Linked DNA regions of Coturnix japonica. The protein of the gene in region 1 interacts with the protein of each later gene in a biochemical or structural test. Links are inferred from orthologs where the notes say so. Each region holds a gene or a part of one and is shown in the gene's direction. Other genes may lie near its edges. The genes, in order: PPP1CA, MAPT, RRP1B, AKT1 and MPHOSPH10.

Region 1 (4,044 bases):
CGGGAAAGGGGAAGGGGCCCCCCGCCCGCAGACCCCGGGCCGCCACTCACCATGTTGCGGGCGTCGGGAGGCTGCGAGAGACGGGAGAGGGGTCGCGGTGAGCAGGGCGCAGCCCGCACCGTCGGCCCCACTGGTACCGCGCCGTGCCACCGTGCTCCCGGAGGGACACTGAGGCGTGCGGCCACACGGCCCCACCGGGAAGAGCCGTGCCCCGCAGTCACGCGTGGCCGCTGGCAGTGGGGCGGCCCCGTGCCCGGGCTTAGCGGCACAGAGCCCTATTGTCCCCGGCTTCCACCCGCCCGTCCCCGGCGCCGCTCGGTGCCGCCCCGCACGTCCCCCGGCTTAGCGCAACGGCTGCCCGCGATTTCACCGCCGGACACGCGCAGCACGGCGCACGCCAACACCCTCGGACACGCGTGGAGCGGGCGCCGCCTGCACCCACCGGCGGTCGCTGTCGCTTTCGGGCGGTCGTGGCGGCGGTGCCCGCGGAGCCGTGCCCGTTCTGCACCGGCGGCGGAGGCGCCTTCGGTGGCAGAAGGGCGTCCCCGGGGGAGGGCGCGGGGCGGGGCGGGGAAGGGGGGGAGAGAGGGAATGGGGGGTGTGCGGGGTGTGCGGGCACCAGGATTCAGGGGTGCGGGGTATCAGGTGTGGGGTGTGAGGGAACTATGGGGCGTGGAGACAAGGATGCGAGGGCATGAGAACATCTGGGGCGTATGGGGAAATGGAGATGGGGAACGAGGGAGCACGGGGAGAAGGATCTGTGGGGTTACGGGGATCCGGGGACACGGGGATTTGGGAATACGAGGCACGGGGACGTAGCGACGGGTAAATCGGAGGATACGGAGATAAGGGAAGATACGGGAAAAGGGGGATCTGAGAGTGGGGGACGTGGTGACAGAGCAACGTCGGGGTGGGGACGGGTAGATCGGAGGAGCCGGGGCACGGAGACACGGGATGTGAGCACACCGCGACGTGGGGCCGCACGGATCGGGGGACACGGGGAGGCGGGACACGAGCAGCGGGACACGCAGCCGGCAGCGGAGCGGGGACAGTTGCCGGGGTCGTTCGGGGACAGCGGCGCAGCTGACACCGCGGGGCTGAAATGTCACCGGTGTCACCGCGGGCAACGGGCCAGGCTGTGCCGGCACCGCGCGGCTCGTACTGCACGTGGGGGCGGCACGGCGGCACGAGGGGCACAAGTGAGGCGGGTGGAGCCGGTGGCAGCACCGTGTCTCTCGGCACACGTCCCCGCGGGGCTCCCCACGCGCCGCGAGGCTGACAACGGCAACAGCCGCCGGGCAACCGGCCGGCACGGGGAACGACACGGCGCCGCCTCGTGGGAGCGCGCAGCCCCCACGCGCCTCCGCGGCCTCCCATCCGCCATGGGGCGCTCTCGCCACCCGCCGCTCGCCCCGGCCGCTCTCTATGGCCGCGGGGCCGGGACCGGGGCGGGCCAGGGCGGGGGGGGGAAGCAGCGTCCGGCGGCCATGGCGGATACCGAGAAGCTCAACCTCGACTCCATCATCGGCCGCCTCCTGGAGGGTGAGCGATGGGCCTAGTGCTCCCGGACCGCCTCGGGAGCCGCTAGGGGAGGGAAGGACCGGCGCTGTGCCGCCAAGGAGGGGCTGGAGAACGGGGCTGCGGGCCGGGGCCTGCGGGGAAACGGGGGCCGTGCGAGGCTCTGGGGGTCCAACTGTGGGGCTGTGGGGCAGCGGGGGGTATCGGGGCAGCGGGGGGCCGGGGGGAGCCGGGCGGTGGGAGCCGCTGGGGGCTGTGGGAATGAGGGGGGCTGCGGGCGATCGGGGCGGATGGGGGGTGGCTGCAGAGGGCCGGGGGCACCGGGAGGGCCGTGCGTTAGTGCGGGACTGTTAGGGCACGGCGGCTCTGCGGGCTCCGGGGGTGGAGTGGGCTCTGCTGAAAGCCACCCCCGCACAGTGCAAGGCTCACGGCCTGGGAAGAACGTGCAGCTGACAGAGAACGAGATCCGGGGGCTGTGCCTGAAGTCACGGGAGATATTCCTGAGCCAGCCCATCCTGCTGGAGCTCGAGGCTCCGCTCAAGATCTGCGGTGAGCGACGAGCCGGGGGGAGGGGAAGGGGGCGGGCTGGGAGCCAGCGTCACCGCGTGTCCCCCGCGATCTTCTTACAGGCGACATCCATGGACAATACTATGACTTGCTTCGGCTCTTTGAATATGGAGGCTTTCCACCAGAGAGCAACTACCTATTCCTTGGTGACTATGTTGACAGAGGAAAGCAGTCTTTAGAAACAATTTGTCTTCTATTGGCCTACAAAATTAAATACCCGGAGAACTTTTTCCTGCTGCGTGGCAACCACGAATGTGCCAGCATCAACCGCATCTACGGCTTCTATGATGAGTGTGAGTGCTGCACCGGCCCCACTACTGACAAACGGGACTGCCTTGTCACCTCACTGCCAACCCCATATGATACAGCCAGCCCAAAGTCCCCCCTTCCATCCCCATTTGCAGCTCTTCCCATCTCCTGCAGACCTTATGTTCATCCCAGCTACTTTCTCCTGCAGACCTTATGCCCCCATCCCAGCCATCTCCTCCTGCAGACCTTATGCCCCATCCCAGCTACCTCCTCCTGCAGACCTCATACCCCCATCCCAGCCACCTCCACGGCCACCCCCCCAGCCCCCTGGAGGGTTCAGTGCTGCCCTGTGTGTGTTGTGATACACCAGAGGGTGGGGAGGGTGGAACATGGCCCACATGAAGGGCTCCTGTGAGCACCCACCCCGCTGCCTCACAGGCAAGCGGCGATACAACATCAAGCTGTGGAAAACCTTCACCGATTGTTTTAACTGTTTACCAATTGCAGCAATTGTGGATGAGAAGATATTCTGCTGTCACGGAGGTGGGCACAGGGCTGGGGGCTGCCGCCTGGGTCCAAAGGCCGCCACACAGCATAACCTGACACTCCTGTGCAGGGCTGTCTCCTGACTTGCAGTCGATGGAACAGATCCGGCGCATCATGCGACCCACGGACGTACCCGACCAGGGCCTGCTGTGTGATCTCCTGTGGTCTGACCCTGACAAAGATGTCTTAGGATGGGGTGAAAATGACAGAGGAGTGTCCTTCACCTTTGGGGCCGAGGTGGTGGCCAAGTTCCTGCACAAGCATGACCTCGATCTCATCTGCAGGGCACACCAGGTAATGGGGTCGGGCCTCACCTGGGCTCCATAACGGTGGAGCTTTTCCCAGGAGGGGCCATTTGCTCTTGAGGATGTGGTTGGGCTCTTTTGAAGGGGATGCTGCCCCCTGGGGGAGTTGGTGGGCTCTATGGACAGAGAACAGGGAGATATGAGTGCTGCTGCCCCACAGGTGGTGGAGGACGGCTACGAGTTCTTTGCCAAACGCCAGCTTGTCACCCTCTTCTCTGCACCCAACTACTGCGGGGAGTTTGACAACGCAGGAGCCATGATGAGTGTGGACGAGACCCTCATGTGCTCCTTCCAAGTGAGCTGGGGCTTTGCCGGGGAGGGGGCAGCACACAGGGCTCTGCCTGCAGCCCCTTCACTCACCCTTCACTTCCTTGCAGATTCTGAAACCAGCAGACAAGAACAAGGGCAAGTACGGGCAGTTCAGTGGGCTGAACCCTGCTGGCCGCCCCGTCACCCCACCACGCAACTCTGCCAAAGCCAAGAAGTGAGTGTCCACCGCCAGCAGCCCCAGCACCAGGTCGCTCCTTTCTCCATTCGTTTTTTTATTTGTCAGATCCTGCCCTTGCCGCTTTCTACTGTACCAAATGTACCCTCTGGGGCAGGACCCGCCCCTCAGTTGGCAGTGAAGGCAGGGCAGGAGGCTTTTTTTGGGGAATAAACTTGTAATGGGTCTTAAGATGTGGCTTTAGGATCACACCCTACGTGGCCAGGCAGTGCCAGCTGCTGCGCCATGGCATCGCAATGGGGGCTCTCAGCATTCGGCATCGCTGTCCTCTGCCAGCACCTCCTGGCTGGGGGCTGGGCCAGGCCCCCCCGGTGTCAGCACGGAGCCAAAAAACAACGAGCGGAACTTTGGGGG
Region 2 (4,294 bases), on another chromosome or scaffold:
GCAGCTCACTGTGCTGTGCTCCTCCTGGGTGTGCACAGGGACATCGGTGCTGCAGGGCATTGCATTCTGCTCGGTCAGCTGGATCAGAGGGAAGAAGAAAGGTAGGAAGGGATGGAAGATGAGGGAAGGGTGGCAGCAATAGCAGCGGGTTGGCCCTCAGGTGTGTGGTTTTGGGGTGAGGCAATAATGCAAGGTGTAGGCTTCATATTCCTGCAATGCAATGTGGCTCCCAGCAGGTTCCAGTTTGCAGGGCTGTGCTGTTGGGGCACAGAACCATTGCTGCTCCCCATGGACCGGCTGCTCTCACTGCTCAGGGTGGGCTCGGATAATCTGCCCTCCTAATTGCCACCCAGTGAGGAGGCAGCTGCTGAGCCAGCCCTTAAGCTGATTTGGGATGGCAAATTCTGTTAGTTTAATTCTCAGCAATGCTGAGGAACGTGCCAGCACGTGAGCATCACTTGGCTTGTCTCTGGCAACCTGAGCCAGCTGGTGAGGGCATGCAGTGCTCAGAGCTGGGACAGGTTGGGTTTGTAAGGGGGTATTTAACTGACCATTCCTTGAGCTCCTGTGTTTGCAGCCCCAACTTTGCTATTCCTTTTTAATGCTCCTTTCCAGAGCTGTGGAGCATTCACTGCCTGGTCTTGGTAACCCAGGCCTTAATAACACACAGGTTAAAGGTGAGCAATGATGAAGAATGCATTTCTGAAAGGATTCCTTTTGCAGTTCCTTCTGTGTTTGCCTTTGAACATAAAGGAAGTTTCCTGCCCCCCTGCCTTGCTGTGATTTCTCATCTCGCTCCATATTAAGCTTTGCTTGCAGTTGATGAGATCACTGCCCGTATTCCTTCGCCTGTCAAGCTCCTTGGAAGAGCTAAGTGCACAAAGGAGATGAAAAAGAAGCTGCTTATGAATTATGAAGAGCCTTTCAAGCTGCTGTTATTTCACGGGGCCGTCGCTCCGTTTTAATTGAGTAATTCAAATGGGGGCAAAAAACAACCAACCCCATCCCAACCTGTTTGTGTTTGATCACCTGTCGGAGGGAACACGAGGCTGGCTCATGTTTGTTGAGCTTTCAAGTAACACAAGCCACCCTTGCAGGTGGAATAATGGGGAAGGAAGGAGCTGAGCAGGAGCTGGGATGCAGCTGCTCCCCTTGTGCTTGCTTGGGGTGTGCAGCAGAGCGTGCAAACACAGCCTGCATCTCTCCAAGCACTGCAGAAATGCATGGCCCATAATGGCCACCAGCAGGTCTGTCAATCCATGGTTTATATGGGGAATTTTAGCCCATGTGAATGGAAGCATCAGTTCCCAGCTCTGTGATCCCAGGGGCTGTGGGGAACAGCCCTGAATCCATGCAGAGCTGGCAGGGTGAGCTGATGCTGGGGCTGCTGGGGGTGGGGGGATGCACACAGCATGCAGGACAGCTCAGCCCCTGGCACCAGAAGCCTTTTGGTTTTGCTCCTTTGTGATGTCATCTGTCACACAGGACAGAAGGCTGAGTGCCACCCAAGCACAGCTGTGTGGTCCCCAGCATCTGCTTTCCTCCTCTCAGCCAACCCAGGCTGCTATCAATAGGGTACGTTGTTTTCAGCCCTGGTTTTTATTCACCTGTCATTGCGGGGAAACGTCACATCAAGGCAGGAAGAGTTTGAGCTGCCAGGCTTCATTTGGGACATCAGCATTCCCAGCTGGAGGGCACAGTGTGTGGCCATAGCAGCAGGATGAGAGCTGTGCAGTGCCATTGTGATGGATGGTGATACATCCTGATGCTGCTGGTGGCCCTGCAGGGACTTTGGCATCAGATCCTGCTGGCTTTGACTCTGGGTTTGACTCTTAGGGGGCACCTTTAGGCTGAGGGACCTGACTGGGTTGTGTGTATGGAGTTAATGGTGCTGGTGGGCTGAGCTCGGATATCTGTGCCCCCATGGGAAGCCTGGGGCTGTTAATGGGGCTTGAGGGGCTGTTAACACCACAGTGGGCTGTTGCTGCTTAGATAGGGCCCCTGTTTGGTGGGGATAGTCCTGCTGGAAGGGGATAAGGCTCTTGGTAGGGCTGTGTGCTTTATCTCCTGCATGGTGCCCTGCTGACGTTGAGCTCTGCAGCTCTCCTTGTTGAGTTACTCATTCCCAACCCATTGCTTTGAGGCTGTTCTTACGGCCTTTTGGAACATCTTTTCCCTTTCACGGGAGGGATTTCCTCCTCCTCCACTTGAGAAGCAGAAGGTTTGTCATCTCAGATGTTGTTTGTAACTCATAGACGTGCAGTTTTCAACCCCCCTTAGAATAAGAAGCGCTTTGTGGATGAGCCCTTTGGTTTTGCTTCCTGGTTGCAGCAGGACGGATCCGAGCCACAACTATGTGCATCCCCCTCATGTTCTGATCCTGCTTTTAGCTGATGTGGGGGAGAATGGACTCCAGCATCCATCAGAGAGGCATAAAACGCCTTTATAGTGTTGAATATGACTGCGTGATGATACAGCCTGTGTATTTCCAACCCAGCTGGGAGAGCTTTGCAGCTAAGAGATAATGGTGCTGCTGGCTCACTTGGCCTCACCCTCTGGACTGCTTGGTGTCGTTTGTTTACCTCTCTGTTGTGCTGAAGCTTTATCAGCCCTGTTGTAATGCTTTTGCATCCCAGCCCTTGCAGGGAGAGCCTGCTTCCATCCTGCTGCCCTGCAGGCACAGCACGAAGCCATCCAGCCCCATTGGGAGATGCTGCTGCTCCCCAAAGTCCCTCTGTCCAAACAGTTGTGTGTCCTGCAGCTCTCAGGGGGCATCTGGGTGATTTAATCCTCGGCTCTTTGTGGCTTTAGGTGATGCTTTTTTCCTTGTAACCTAACGGGCAGCTCTTATCTCTGCAAAATTAATTAGGAGCCCATCCCCGCTCCTTCAGCTCCAGCCATGCATGGAGCTCAATGGGAGCAGGGCTGTCTGTGCCCAGCTGTGAGCAGAACAGCATTAAAGGATTTTTTTGCAGCTCATAGAGAGACAGTGAGACCGACGGGTTCCCTAAGAAGCAGCCAAACGTTTCCTGGTGTCAGAAAGCAGCAGTGAGAGCCAGCACTGCAGGCAGGCGGCTCCATGGCCTTTGCTGAATCACTGCTGGCTGCTGCCGTGCCAGGGCTGCACAGATGCTGAAATGCTGAGCTCGGAGGAGAAGTGGGACGTCTTGAGCTGAGCTGAGCTGAACCCTGTCCACAGAACGGGCAGATGAGCCCCAGGCTGGGAATGTGAGCTGGATGTGGAGCCAGGAGTCAGTGCTGGATGGTGGCCCAGGAAATTCTTGTCCAGAGGCAGGAAAGCACTAAATGTGACTTTCAAAGAGAGGTGCTGAGAGCTCCATTCCAAACACTGGGGCGGGGGGGGGGCAGGAGAGGAGGACGTGAGCATCATTGGAACCCAGCAGTGGGATGAGTGGATGGTCTGCATCTGGGTCAGCACACACAAAGGTGTGTGGGTGCTCAGTGAGCTGGGCTGGGAGGGCTGTCCTTGTCCAAGCTTTGTGGCTGTCAAAGGCAGCAGTGAAGTTGTACATTCATCTTCCTAAGGCTTAAAGAAGCTGGGCAGGAGCTCTGCTTACTGCCATTGGAGCTTCTCTTGCTCGGTTCCATATATCCTGTTTATTTCTTGCCAGCAAACAAAACCACGTGTGTTTGCTTCCTTGCTTGCAGTGACCCGAGCCTCACTGCTGCATCCATTTGCTCCTGACGGTCATGGCAAGCACACGATTACACTAATAGCCTGTTATTAATCACTGCCAGTGGCTGTAATTACATCAGCTATTAGGAAGTCAACTAAAATCCATGTCTGTCCAATCAGAAGGACAGGCATGGTGCCTGCAGCTTGTGTTTGTTGTTGGGTTCTCTTCCTTTAAGCACTTTTAAAAGCCCCCTGAGGTCCTGGTTTGGTGTGTTAGCACTTTGCACTGCTCAATGAGTGCGGGTGGAATGTGCTCCTGGTGAATGTGGGGGCACAGGATGCTCTGGGGAGTGTTTGAGCACAGCTATGTGAAACCCAATGGGCATCTGTGTATCCTGAGCATCCCTGCACACTGTGATGTGAAACCCAATGGGCATCTGTGTATCCTGAGCATCCCTGCACACTGTGATGTGATTTGGGGTCTCATCAAGGAAAGGAGATAAAGCAGCTCCCTTCTTGCTGTGGCTGAGGAGGCAGCGTGCATTTGTTGGCTCATTGCTGGCCAGAGGATGCTCCTGGGATGGAGCTGAGGTGGTTTGGAGCACACCAACAAGGCTCCAGGCTTTGCAATCATTGCTTTTGTTTCCTTCTTCAGGT
Region 3 (3,512 bases), on another chromosome or scaffold:
AAAGGTAAGACAAGATCAATCTTTCTAAGAGAGATGATCTATGATCACTTGTCCAATAATGCGAAGTGTTGGATACTGCAATACTGAAGAAGGCATAAACTGTTGTTGAGAGCGCACTGATTTGTGTTGCAATGAAGGTTAAAAGTGAAATTAAGCTCTGTTTGATAGTGATGGGAATTTTGTTTCTCTTTTGTGAGGTAAAGATCGCCTCAGTTTTGATCGAAAGCAGAACTGAAAGCAGTTGTTTGCATTGCTCCACTGAGCAGTTCACTTACTGTAGAAAAACAGAAACGTGTCAGTGTTTCTGGAAAAGGATATCAGAATATAGGAATTTGGTGGAGCTTCTGGATAGGTGAAGAAAGCTCCTAAGAAGCAGAAACAAGTCTATAGCAGCGTGTCTAATACTGACTTGGGCAAAGCTGAATCATACCAAAAATACCTTGCTAAAGTACTGAACCCCTGAGTTGCCCTTCTGGGATTAACAGGTAGATAATAACTCTTTCTAATGTTGTTTCTATACAAAATATTCTTCCCACGTGAAATAGCTTATATAATGGAATAGTCAGCTGTGACAAGGCAAGATCAGCAAAATATTAATTAGGCTAGGAGCTAAGGGAATGTGATGTCCTGATCAGCTGTAGCAGTAAAACAAGAAAAGATTATGTCTATTAGGAGAAAATAAATAAAGAAAAGAACTAATCTTTTTTATTTTTTTAAACTCATTTGCTGTATGTACCCTTTTGTTTCACATTTGTGTTGTATGGCATTCCTTTTGGAGTAGGCTCAGGAAAGGATGAATGTATGGGAAACTGGTAATCATAGCCTGAAGCTCTGATTAGTCAGCTGAGGCAAGTGTTGGATCAGCTGTGGGAGCACAGGTGAGGGTAATTCAGCTGTGCTCCTGGAAGGGGTGGAGCTTGACTCCACCTCCTCTAGACCTCATTTAAGGGCTGACCACCACTAAGGCAGCATCTCTTTGAGATTGCTCCTTAGTGGAGATTGCCTCAGCATTTCCCAGGAAAGGCATCCATATTGGTGAGTTTTTCCTCATAAATAACCTTTTGAATATTCGTTACCATCTTTGCATCATTCCACCTTACAGATGAACAAGAGACATCAAGTGCAAAAGAGACATCAGTACCACAGAAGAGGAGGAAAAAAAGGAAGAGAAGGGAGAGCCCACGTGCTGATTCTGGAACAACTGATGGAAATTCTGAGGAGGGAATAGCTGAAACATCTGGATCTGTTAAATGTAACGTGGGAAAAATGCCAGAAAATAATAAGATAAAGAAGAAAAAGAAATTGGTAGTTAATGAGGCAAATGAGATCAGAAATGCAGTAAGTGACACCAGAGATAAGCACAGCATCTCCACACCGAGTGGTCAGAATGACACAGAACAGAGTAAAAAGATTCAGTCAGAGAAAATGAAACCAGAAGTGCAGAATGTTCTTGGAAAGCTGGAGTGTCAAAATGGTCCAGCTAATGCCAAAAAAGCAGAGGATGTCAACCCATCTGTCGCACCATTAATTCCCAAGGCTGGGAAGAAGAAACTAAAAGCAGGGTCTGCCTTGGTCAATGGGGAGAACTTTTTGCAGCAGACAGACTTGAAATCCAACAAGGAGGGCCCACTGCCAAGGGCTGTGGACTCTGGATCTGAACCCTCTGGAAAGGTCAAATTGAAGAAGACAAAGCTGGTTGCTTTGGAAGGGATCGAGGTCTCCAACCAGAAAGCAGCAATCTTGAAAAAGAAGAGGAAAGTTAAAGAGGTGCTAAATTCTGTTGAAACCAATGGAATTCTGGAGACTGCATGCAAGAAAAGCAGAAAGGAGGTATGTAGATCTATTTCTTTCTTTTTTTTCCCCCTCCCTTTTGTTTCTTCACAAGCTTCCAGGCTGCTTTTTACATCTGGCCTGTACAGTTACTAAAAGGACCAGTTTCCCAAAAATCCTCTCACTCCTGCTACATTCTTAAACCTTCTCACACTATTACATTAGATCCTATGCCAGCTACCCCTGTGAAAGTATTCATGTGACTGAGACTTGGTTAGTTAGGATGTGGAGCAGTCTTTGCTGTTGGCTAGGGTAGTTTGTTTGATTTTGATTTCCCCTTTGACTTAATTATTGATTTGCACTGGGTCTCTGGACAGGCATGTTTGCAACCTTGGCATATCTCGGCGAAAGGATGGGAATGCCGAGATGGAACGCTTATTTCAGCAGCAATACTGTATACTTGGATTAGTATAAGCTCCTTGTGATATTGCCTTCAGTAACTCCAATCATGGCTTCTTTTGCTAACTCACTTCTGCACCTTGTTAGTGCTATGCAGAAAAGAGTGAACAGATGGTACGGCACTGGGAATTTCAGTGTCATCAGTGGTTGCACGATCACTTTTGAGAATGATGTAGTTTCTCATAAAGGTCAGGCTGGATTTTTGCTGGGAAGGTCTGACTGTACTGTTCTTACTACGTGCAGTTTTGCAATTTGGGAACAAGTTCGTTTTTCCCCCTCTACCTCCCATTCCCATTTTCTTTTGGCGGTGAAGGTAGATTTCAGCAATTTGAGAGTCCAAAAGTGTTTTGCACTGTACGTTTTTGGGGGCATTGTAGAAAGATAGTATTATTCTGCTCCTCGCCTCTGAAATCCTTTTAACCATTCATTTTCTGTGTGGACATTTACCCTTAAGCATTTATGGGCTCAAGCGTATTATTGGAAGTCTTGCTGACATTACTACTTCAAAGGATAGAAAATTCATAAACCATCAGTTAAATTTGGTATACAAAACTCAGTCTTCCTCTGATTAACTACAGCACGTTAGTAGCCTGTTAGCTCATTTCTGTTTGACTTAAATGTCTAATTAAAAAAAAGTATCTGATCAGTTAAGTGCTCCTGCTGGCTGTACTATTTCTGATATAAGCCAGGATGCCATTCGCTTTCTCTGCCACCTGGGTGCACAACTGGGACAGGACAAGGGGTAATGGATGAAAGTACAGCATAGGAAGTTCCACATGAATGTGCGGAAGAACTTTTTACGGTGAGGGTGATGGAGCACTGGAAACAGGCTGCCCAGCGGAGGTGGTGGAGTCTCCTTCTCTGGAGATATTCAAGACCCGCCTGGACGCCTACCTGTGTGACATGGTGTAGGGAGCCTGCTTTGGCAGGGGGTTGGACTCGATGATCTCTAGAGGTCCCTTCCAACCCTACCATTCTGTTGATCTGTGGCTCATGTTATGCCAAGAATCAACCAGCATCCCCAGATCTGTTTCCTGAGAACAGCCTTCTAGCCATTCTGCCCCAAACCTGTAGCACTGCAGGGGGGTTGTTGTGACCAAAGTGCAGGACCTGACACCTGGTCGTGTTGAACTTCATCCCATTCACCTCAGTCTATTTTATTCCAACCCCTCTGGCATGGGCAGGTTTCCTAATGGCAACACTCACGGTGAAACTGAGGGGAGGGCAGCAGACTAGTAGCAAATTATACTTGCTGGATTTCTCAAGTGTACACAGACACCATA
Region 4 (3,512 bases), about 47 Mb from region 1:
TGAGACTTTCCTTGTTTTTTTGGTTGTTTATATAATGCATCTGAGATCTGTGTTTTTAGAGCAGCTATATATTCTTGTATGTTTCCATTTTTGGGAAGCATAAATTATAATCCTTTCTAGAGCCTCGTGGATCAGACCTTCAGCGCCTCGTGAAATCAGAGACCTTGTAGTTTCAGGATGTGATTTGATGTTATGGCTCACCTGTATAATGGCTGCTGTCTCTTAAGATAATTATTTGCTTTCCCTGTCCTCCAGATGCTTGCTGTCCTCTGTGACAAAGATCAGGATGACTCTGACCTTGTGACTGATGAGTTCAGGGTTACATAGTGGGAAAAGCCCTTTAGTATTTTTTTTCCTTCTCACAATCCCACAAGCAGCTCACTGTGCAATCGGAGCTGTTTTAATGCCAGCAGAAGTGTGGGGTAGGACAGGGGAGAGCAGGACCGTGCTTTATCTGCTGCTTTCCATTTAGATTGTCTAACTGCTAGATGAAGCTGTAGCCTCACTTTACATCTCTAGCACCAGCAGTCTCCCTGGATTGAGTTCTGCATCAAGATTTTGTAGTATTCATTACGAGTTTGCTTTGAATCATTTCCAACCCTTCAGAGACCTACGTAGTATCCTGGTGGTTTCCCTCATCCAGGTACACACGAGTTTAACTGGAATTTAAGCTTTTAAAGCATGACCTCTGAAAGTAAATATTAGCAGAATCGAGTATAATCAGTTCATGTTTGGTGACTGTCTAAAACCTGGTCCCCCTTTTCTTTGTGAAACCATGGCTGGTGCAAAAATGATTTCTCTAATAATGAAGATGGTGATTATACCAAATGTGGTATTTTTTCATTGCTTTTGTAAACCCTAAATTCCAAAGCAGTCTTGAAGTCAGCTAGGAGAGCAGGTTGTGACCAAGAAACATAAGACCATGGCAAACAAGTTGGTGTTACTCTTGCTGCAGGAGTACCCATGACACAACTGTGCAAAGACACCTTGTGACACTCCATCACACCCTCTGTCTGATCTGTTTTTGCAAATTGCTCACAAGTGGATATTGATAGCATTGCTCAATCCCCTGGCAGGCTGTCAACAAAGAGCAGTTGCAGTGAGCAGGGCAGAGACCAGGGGGCTGGTGTCTGTAAGCGCACTTGTTTCACACTAGTGGGCTTGCAGCCAGCGTGGCAAAACCTTGTGCTCTTGGATTTGGCTGTGGCCCACAGTCTGAGAGATCAAACTGGGAACCTGTGGCCTGGGGAAGATACTCCAGTGACACTGCCAGTGCATTTTGTACAATTGTAACAGGTTAGGGCTTCCCACAGCATTATAGGCATTACCAATAGCTTCTGCAAGGGATTTGTTTGTAATGTTGCTTTCAATATATTTAATAAAATAAGTTGGTGGTGGATCAGTACTCAGCTCAAACAAGAAACTGCAAGTATTATATCAGAGTCAAGGACAAAAAGTCCTCTGAAATCTTATTTTTTGTCTGCCTAAATACTGATTCAAAATGCTTTTTCTAACTGTCAGTGCGATCTTCTGATTTTTCGTTTAAATCTGTTTCAGGCTTTAAAGTATTCCTTTCAGACACATGATCGCTTGTGTTTTGTCATGGAGTATGCTAATGGAGGGGAGGTAAGGGAAACATAATAATGTTCAATAATGTAGGATATTCCTTTACTACTACTACTAATTGTGCTTGCCATTGTTTAGCTAAGGTCTGTGTTTGCATTTCTAGTTAATCCTAGTTGTCCCACCTAAACAGAGCTGTCTGCAGTTTTAACTAATATTAAGACACATATTTCTTCATCTTAGTGCAGGTTTGGGTGTAGGTTTGTATTTTACATATGATGGCAACATACTTTAACATTTAGTTATTCAGAAAAGTGACTTTCTGTTTGCTTTTCAGGCAGGTTTTAATACTTCTAGATGAACATTATGAGCACATCACTATGGAGAGAATTTGAAGTGCAGAAAAATGCTGTTATTTAAGAAGGAAAAGATGAAATATCAACATTGAACTGTGCCATAGGATAGCTATAATACGTAACTGTAATTTGATTTAAAGGTTTTATTTTCTGTACACAGAAGAAAGTGTAGCATACAAACTAGTTATTAGCTTACATCTGTGAGTACGAGTTATAATGTGTTGTTTATGATGGTTTTTAAAACATTTGGGAACGCAGCTGGGTGTGGATGGGGTTTTCTCTCAGGTAACATCAGATGCGTGATGGCCTGCAAAGTGTTAGATGTAACTCAAAAACATTCACTATCTAAATGTGATACACTGTTGTTCTTGTAGTTGTTTTTCCATCTGTCGAGAGAGCGCGTATTTTCTGAAGACCGGGCACGTTTTTATGGAGCTGAGATTGTTTCAGCGCTGGATTACCTGCATTCAGAGAAGAATGTGGTTTACAGAGATTTGAAGGTATGTAGAAAAACAATTTCAAAGGCTTTTTGGATTTGGGCTTTCGGTTTCTTAGTCACAGAAGTAAATGAGCCTTGACTGTAAGAAAGCCTTTTCTGACTGAAGTTTAACATAACAGTTATTGCAGCTGTCGAGCTTGACTTTACAGAGTGTCTAAGCAGCTTTGTAGCCTGAGAGCTTGTCTAGTGCATTTATCAGGGCTCTGACAGTGTTCTGGAGAATACAAAGAGGGTCTGAGCATTGTGGGTTGTATTCTCACCTGACTGCTTGTTCCAAGAGAAACCTTTCTGGCTTCACACGTGATGAAATACAATTCTGGACTCTTCATACCAGGTCTTATCAGATACATGCAAATTCACACTGTGTGGATGTTGTTCTTCCTTTCAATCTGCTGTGCATCACTATCTTCGTAGTACCTTTTTGCAGAGAAAAAATTGCATAAAGTTCGAATGGCTTATGTGTGGTGAGCAGAGAGGGAAGAGTACTGAGTAAGGAATCTCAGGAAAAACAAACTTGGGAAGTTCTCAAGGGTGTTGCAACAACAAAACTGGTTTTCTGAGAAGTGTTTTCAGGAGAGAATGAGGTGATGCTACTGGGAGCATGCAAGGTAATATTTGCAGGCTACTTCAAAGTGCTTCTAGGGATTCCTGCTGGGATTTTGTATCCCATATGAGTGGGATTCCTTTGAAATTGCACTTTGTTTCTTACGTAGTTTGACATTCTGTATTGAAATCGTGCTTGTTACAAATTGGTAGTGCAGACTAGAATGAATATCAAGTGTTGGGTAGATGTACAAAATGACTCTCATATAAAGGAACTCTGACAAACAGTTCCTTAAACTTACATATTTACTTTCATTCATTTACTATTCTTTAATAGTACAGAATATTGTACACAGTCACTTAAGAATAAAAGCAGGGATGAAGTTATATGAGGAGTAACAATGCATTATTTTTAAAAGAATCTGATGTTCTGTTGGTGATAATATTTTTGGAAGCACAAATATGTTTACATTCAGTATCATTTTGTATATATGACCAGTTACCCAAAGATTGCAAATGAGTCCCCTAATGCTCCCTAAAGAACTAGGGAA
Region 5 (4,099 bases), on another chromosome or scaffold:
CACAGCCACACAGAACTGTGATAGCAGTTGCTTCTGTTGTTCATTTCTGCTGCTAAAATGAGGGAGCACTGGGCAATAGGCAGAATAGATAGAATACCTTCTCTGCAAACAGATTTCCCAGCCCCCCTCCATGGAGATTATACAGTGGCCTTGACAAGGTAATACAACTGAGACATTTCCATTTCTTACCCAAATGAGCCACAGTCATTTCTGACTTTTCTTAACCCTCAACGTAATGCATATCATCTTTGAATTGCAACCAGATTTCTGTCGCCTTTATTTACACTCCTTATACGCCCTCAGTGCCATGCAGCAGCCGCCAGGATGACACTGAGGATGCTAAGTACAGAGCCCTGTAAGCGCAGGCTGCCGAGGCAAGGAGCCAGCCCTCACCTCTCGAGATGCAGCCAGAAACGCAGCATTCCCCTCCTCTCCCCCACCCCCATCCCTTTTGTTACGGCAATACAAGAATTGGATTCAAAAACTGCTCCAAAAGGGGAAGGCAGATCACCATGTAATGCCTGCTGCTGTTTATCCCAGGAAAAATTGGGAGCCCCTCATGGAGCAGCTTTTTCCCCTCCAGATCTGATGACGAAGGGAGCGGGGGAAAAAAAAGAAAAAAAGGATAAAAAAAAAAAAAGCTAATGACAATGTTTGATCCGTTTGCTGCATGGGAGGCATGAAATCAGAAACAAACTCCTAGCGGTGCTGCATTGCATGAGGGCTTCTCCTGCGTTTCGTCTGACCATTAACGGACCCTCGAGCCTCCAGCCCTGCAACAAAACCCTGACACTGTGCGTGTAGCCGCGCCGCCCGTCTGCACCGAGCGCCCGCATCAGCGCACGGAGCCGAGCGGAGCCGGGCGGGCCGGGCACAGCGCTGGGGGCGGCCGTCCCGCGGGGAGCACAGCGGCACAGCGGCCGCCCGGTGCAGCGCCCCGACCATCCCCGCGGGCTCCGGGCGGCCGAGGGGCGGCGGGAGGAGAGCGGCCCCGCGCAGCCCCGCACGGCCGAGCCCCGCGCCGCCATGCCGCAGGGCTGCCCCCAAAGCCGGAGGGTCCCCCCTCGGGCACAGCGGTTACCGGCGGCGGGGGACGGGCCGGGGGCGGCCCCGCTGCCGCTCTCGAGGTGCGCGGCGCCCGCTCGGGCCGAGGTTCGCCCGCTCAGCTCCGTGAGGCGCCGCGGGGCTCCCGCTCCCCCGAGGAGCCGCGGGGATGCTGCCGCCCCACCCGCCAAGGAGCCCCGGCCCCGCCGTGTCGCCGCCCGCGGGGTCCGTGCCCTGCGGCCCCGCTTCTTACCCTGGCTGACAGCCGCGATGCCGGTCCCCACCCCGCGCCGCGGCGACCGACACGGGGGCAGCAACCGCTCTTTTGTGTGCAGCCTCGGCGCCACACACCGACACGGCTGGTGGGCCCGGGAAGCTGCGTGCGAGAATACAGCCGGCCGCCCGGGAACATGCATGGCACATAGCGCCACCGCCGCGGCGCCAAAGGGAGACGGGGAGGAACCCGCCGCGAGCACCACTCGATCGAGACCCGCGATTCGAGCCCGACTCAGCACCCCGCAGAGCGGCCTGAAGGACGGGGTATGGCTACAGGGGGGATAGGGGTAGGAGTAGGGGTAGGGATAGGGATAGGGATAGGGATAGGGATAGGGATAGGGATAAGGATAAGGATAAGGATAAGGATAAGGATAAGGATAAGGATAAGGATAAGGATAAGGATAAGGATAGGGATAGGGATAGGGCGAGGGGAACGGTTTGAAAGTGAGACGGGAGGTTTAGGTTAGATATTAGAGGAAGTTTTTCACACAGAGGGAGGTGATGCACTGGAACAGGTTGCCCAAAGAGGCTGTGGATCCCCATCCCTGCAGGATTCGAGGCCAGGCTGGATGTGGCTCTGGGCAGCCTGGGCTGCTGGTTGGTGACCCTGCACATAGCAAGGGTTGGAGCTGGATGAGCACTGTGGGCCTTTTCAACCCAGGCCATTCTGTGATCCTGTAGTTTTCCAAGAATGACATTTCTTATGGTCAGTGACAAACCCAGTTGGCTTCTCGGTCGTTTTACCAGAAACAACGAGATCTTCCCACAGGGAGGTGATTGCAGTTACTGGGTAAATTAAGGAGAACATGTGAGATGGAGTGCTGCTAGGCCAGTTATGACAGGACTTGCTCATCAATATGCAGATCTCAGACTTGTAGTTATTGACTCTAAAAGGCAATCTTTGTAATGACAGCAAAAGTGAAAAGCCGCCTTAATGTCATTGTATTGCGTTCTGGTCAGTCTCGATGTTCACTCTGCATCCCGTCCAGCTTGGTACGCTTTGTTTGCCCTGCGGTAGCTGTACCAGTTGCTTAGCACCAACTCAAATTCCATCTATATGCAAAGGCCTTTCATGGAAACCCAGCTCATGGATTTTTTGTTTGTTTAGGTTCAATTTCTATTAGGATTCACACAACAGCTATTTGTTATTAAGCTGCTACATTTATCTTCTTTTCTTTTTGTCTGTGGTACCAGCCACTGATGCAGAAGTGAGGTTTTCCTTCTCATTTAATGCAAAATGTCTGGTCTCTCACAGTTACTTGTTACTTTAGAACTTTTTGTTTCCTTTAAATCATGACTTAAACTTATCTTTATTACTGGAAAAAATGCAATGTAAAAGTGAATTAAAAGGTTCATTTAACATCTTATGGAAGATTTTAGTACCTGTGTACTATTTTTATGGTAACAAAGCGTTAACAGTTAAAGATCACTTCAAATTACATCTAGAAATGTCACAAAATACTTCAAAATATATCTACTTTAAACGTTTGGAAGAACTCTTCCTAACTTGTGAATCTATGCTGTACATTGAGCAATTAACTGTGCTTTTAATAACGTGAGAGACAGTGCAAATGAACATGAAACACCAGAGATAGCATAACGTTATAAATACTAAAGGACTATACAGTTTTATGAGGCAAACATTCCTCCTTCACAATAAAGTAAATTTGCATTTCATAAAACATTCAAACTGCTTTAAAAACATTTATCAAAGGTGATAGAATTTGTGTTTCCAAGAAGGTGAGATCTTCCATTTTAAAGTGTTGGCCAATTCCTTTGTAAGTTCATAAGTAAATCCCTTGTAAGTTGTTAGTTTCCATTTCCATATTAATCTTACACGATTCAACATTCTGTGATTTAAACTATCAGTTTACTGACTACTTCTAGTGCAGCCCAGTACCAGTATGAGAAGTGCTAGGAATTTTCTTCTGCTTCACAGTCTAATAATTTCACAAATACAGTGATAAAACAATTAACTCTTACCTTTTTCTCTTAACTATAGGTTCTGGAGCCCAACAAACCCAAGTCCGTATCACTAGTGGAAGAATTTCTAATAAGGAGAGAATCAGCTGAGCCCTTCCTGTTAGTATCTCACCATTCCCACATTCTGCTGTTTTCCGGTAAGACCTTCTTGGTCACATCAATTTCCATTAATCTGCCACAGCAAGACAGTCCAAATCCAAGGACTGTCCTTAGCAACATGCAGCAATACTTTGGCATGTGCATTAAGAAAGATATCCCATTCAGGAAGTGGTGAGAAGAAGTTTCTCTTGTCATTCATTCACAGCTTTCCAAATGGTCAGTCTCACAACCGTTTTAAATGCTGCAACTGTGGCTTCAAAACAGAAGTTATTCCAAAACTTACGATAAACTGGGTAAAGATGGTAATAATGATCACAAATCCAAACTGATGCACTATTTTTTCTTAAATCCAGGTGGATTAATTGCAGACTGAACATGATAAAACCAGAGGTTTTTCTATCCTAGAATAAAATGAACTTATTTTAGATCAAGGTGGAACAATTCACAGTATGTGCAGGAAAATAAAAAATGCAGGTTGTGGTTTAGCTGGTAAAAATATTATTTCTAAGGACTGGGAAAAATAATGAGAGAAACAGAAAGTATTCAGCTTTTACAGTTGATATCAAAATGAACTTAGAAAAGTATCAGGACAAACACTGCTTGCTTAACACACACAAATAACATGAGGCCTGGCCATGAATAAGTCAACAAACTGTGACTGCAGTCTATGAGAAACTAAGTACACTGGCATGCTCTC

What was found.
Region 2: of the proteins of PPP1CA (region 1) and MAPT, one has a biochemical effect on the other in vitro, tested with the Homo sapiens proteins (2 studies listed by BioGRID). The link is inferred for Coturnix japonica from reciprocal best matches to the Homo sapiens genes PPP1CA and MAPT.
Region 3: the proteins of PPP1CA (region 1) and RRP1B form a complex in vitro, tested with the Homo sapiens proteins (4 studies listed by BioGRID and IntAct, with this or other methods). The link is inferred for Coturnix japonica from reciprocal best matches to the Homo sapiens genes PPP1CA and RRP1B.
Region 4: of the proteins of PPP1CA (region 1) and AKT1, one has a biochemical effect on the other in vitro, tested with the Homo sapiens proteins (3 studies listed by BioGRID and IntAct, with this or other methods). The link is inferred for Coturnix japonica from reciprocal best matches to the Homo sapiens genes PPP1CA and AKT1.
Region 5: the proteins of PPP1CA (region 1) and MPHOSPH10 form a complex in vitro, tested with the Homo sapiens proteins (2 studies listed by BioGRID and IntAct). The link is inferred for Coturnix japonica from reciprocal best matches to the Homo sapiens genes PPP1CA and MPHOSPH10.

The regions. Positions count from the first base shown.
Region 1 is NC_029520.1:170,032-174,075, reverse strand, and holds PPP1CA (serine/threonine-protein phosphatase PP1-alpha catalytic subunit), read left to right. Parts: upstream 1-1,232; 5' UTR 1,233-1,382; coding exon 1,383-1,542; intron 1,543-1,935; coding exon 1,936-2,067; intron 2,068-2,147; coding exon 2,148-2,378; intron 2,379-2,772; coding exon 2,773-2,877; intron 2,878-2,950; coding exon 2,951-3,174; intron 3,175-3,345; coding exon 3,346-3,480; intron 3,481-3,562; coding exon 3,563-3,673; 3' UTR 3,674-3,861; downstream 3,862-4,044. Other genes in the region: CARNS1 (carnosine synthase 1), read right to left, coding at 51-53; cell cycle checkpoint control protein RAD9A, read right to left, coding at 3,937-4,035. UniProt on the Homo sapiens protein: Protein phosphatase that associates with over 200 regulatory proteins to form highly specific holoenzymes which dephosphorylate hundreds of biological targets.
Region 2 is NC_029542.1:2,390,826-2,395,119, reverse strand, and holds the start of MAPT (microtubule-associated protein tau), read left to right. Parts: upstream 1-1,490; 5' UTR 1,491-1,575; intron 1,576-4,292; 5' UTR 4,293-4,294. UniProt on the Homo sapiens protein: Promotes microtubule assembly and stability, and might be involved in the establishment and maintenance of neuronal polarity.
Region 3 is NC_029516.1:99,131,569-99,135,080, forward strand, and holds part of RRP1B (ribosomal RNA processing protein 1 homolog B), read left to right. Parts: coding exon 1-4; intron 5-1,102; coding exon 1,103-1,830; intron 1,831-3,512. UniProt on the Homo sapiens protein: Positively regulates DNA damage-induced apoptosis by acting as a transcriptional coactivator of proapoptotic target genes of the transcriptional activator E2F1.
Region 4 is NC_029520.1:46,937,110-46,940,621, reverse strand, and holds part of AKT1 (RAC-alpha serine/threonine-protein kinase), read left to right. Parts: intron 1-1,557; coding exon 1,558-1,626; intron 1,627-2,293; coding exon 2,294-2,419; intron 2,420-3,512. UniProt on the Homo sapiens protein: AKT1 is one of 3 closely related serine/threonine-protein kinases (AKT1, AKT2 and AKT3) called the AKT kinase, and which regulate many processes including metabolism, proliferation, cell survival, growth and angiogenesis.
Region 5 is NC_029525.1:4,862,254-4,866,352, reverse strand, and holds the start of MPHOSPH10 (U3 small nucleolar ribonucleoprotein protein MPP10), read left to right. Parts: upstream 1-1,298; 5' UTR 1,299-1,314; coding exon 1,315-1,584; intron 1,585-3,322; coding exon 3,323-3,402; intron 3,403-4,099. UniProt on the Homo sapiens protein: Component of the 60-80S U3 small nucleolar ribonucleoprotein (U3 snoRNP). Required for the early cleavages during pre-18S ribosomal RNA processing. Part of the small subunit (SSU) processome, first precursor of the small eukaryotic ribosomal subunit.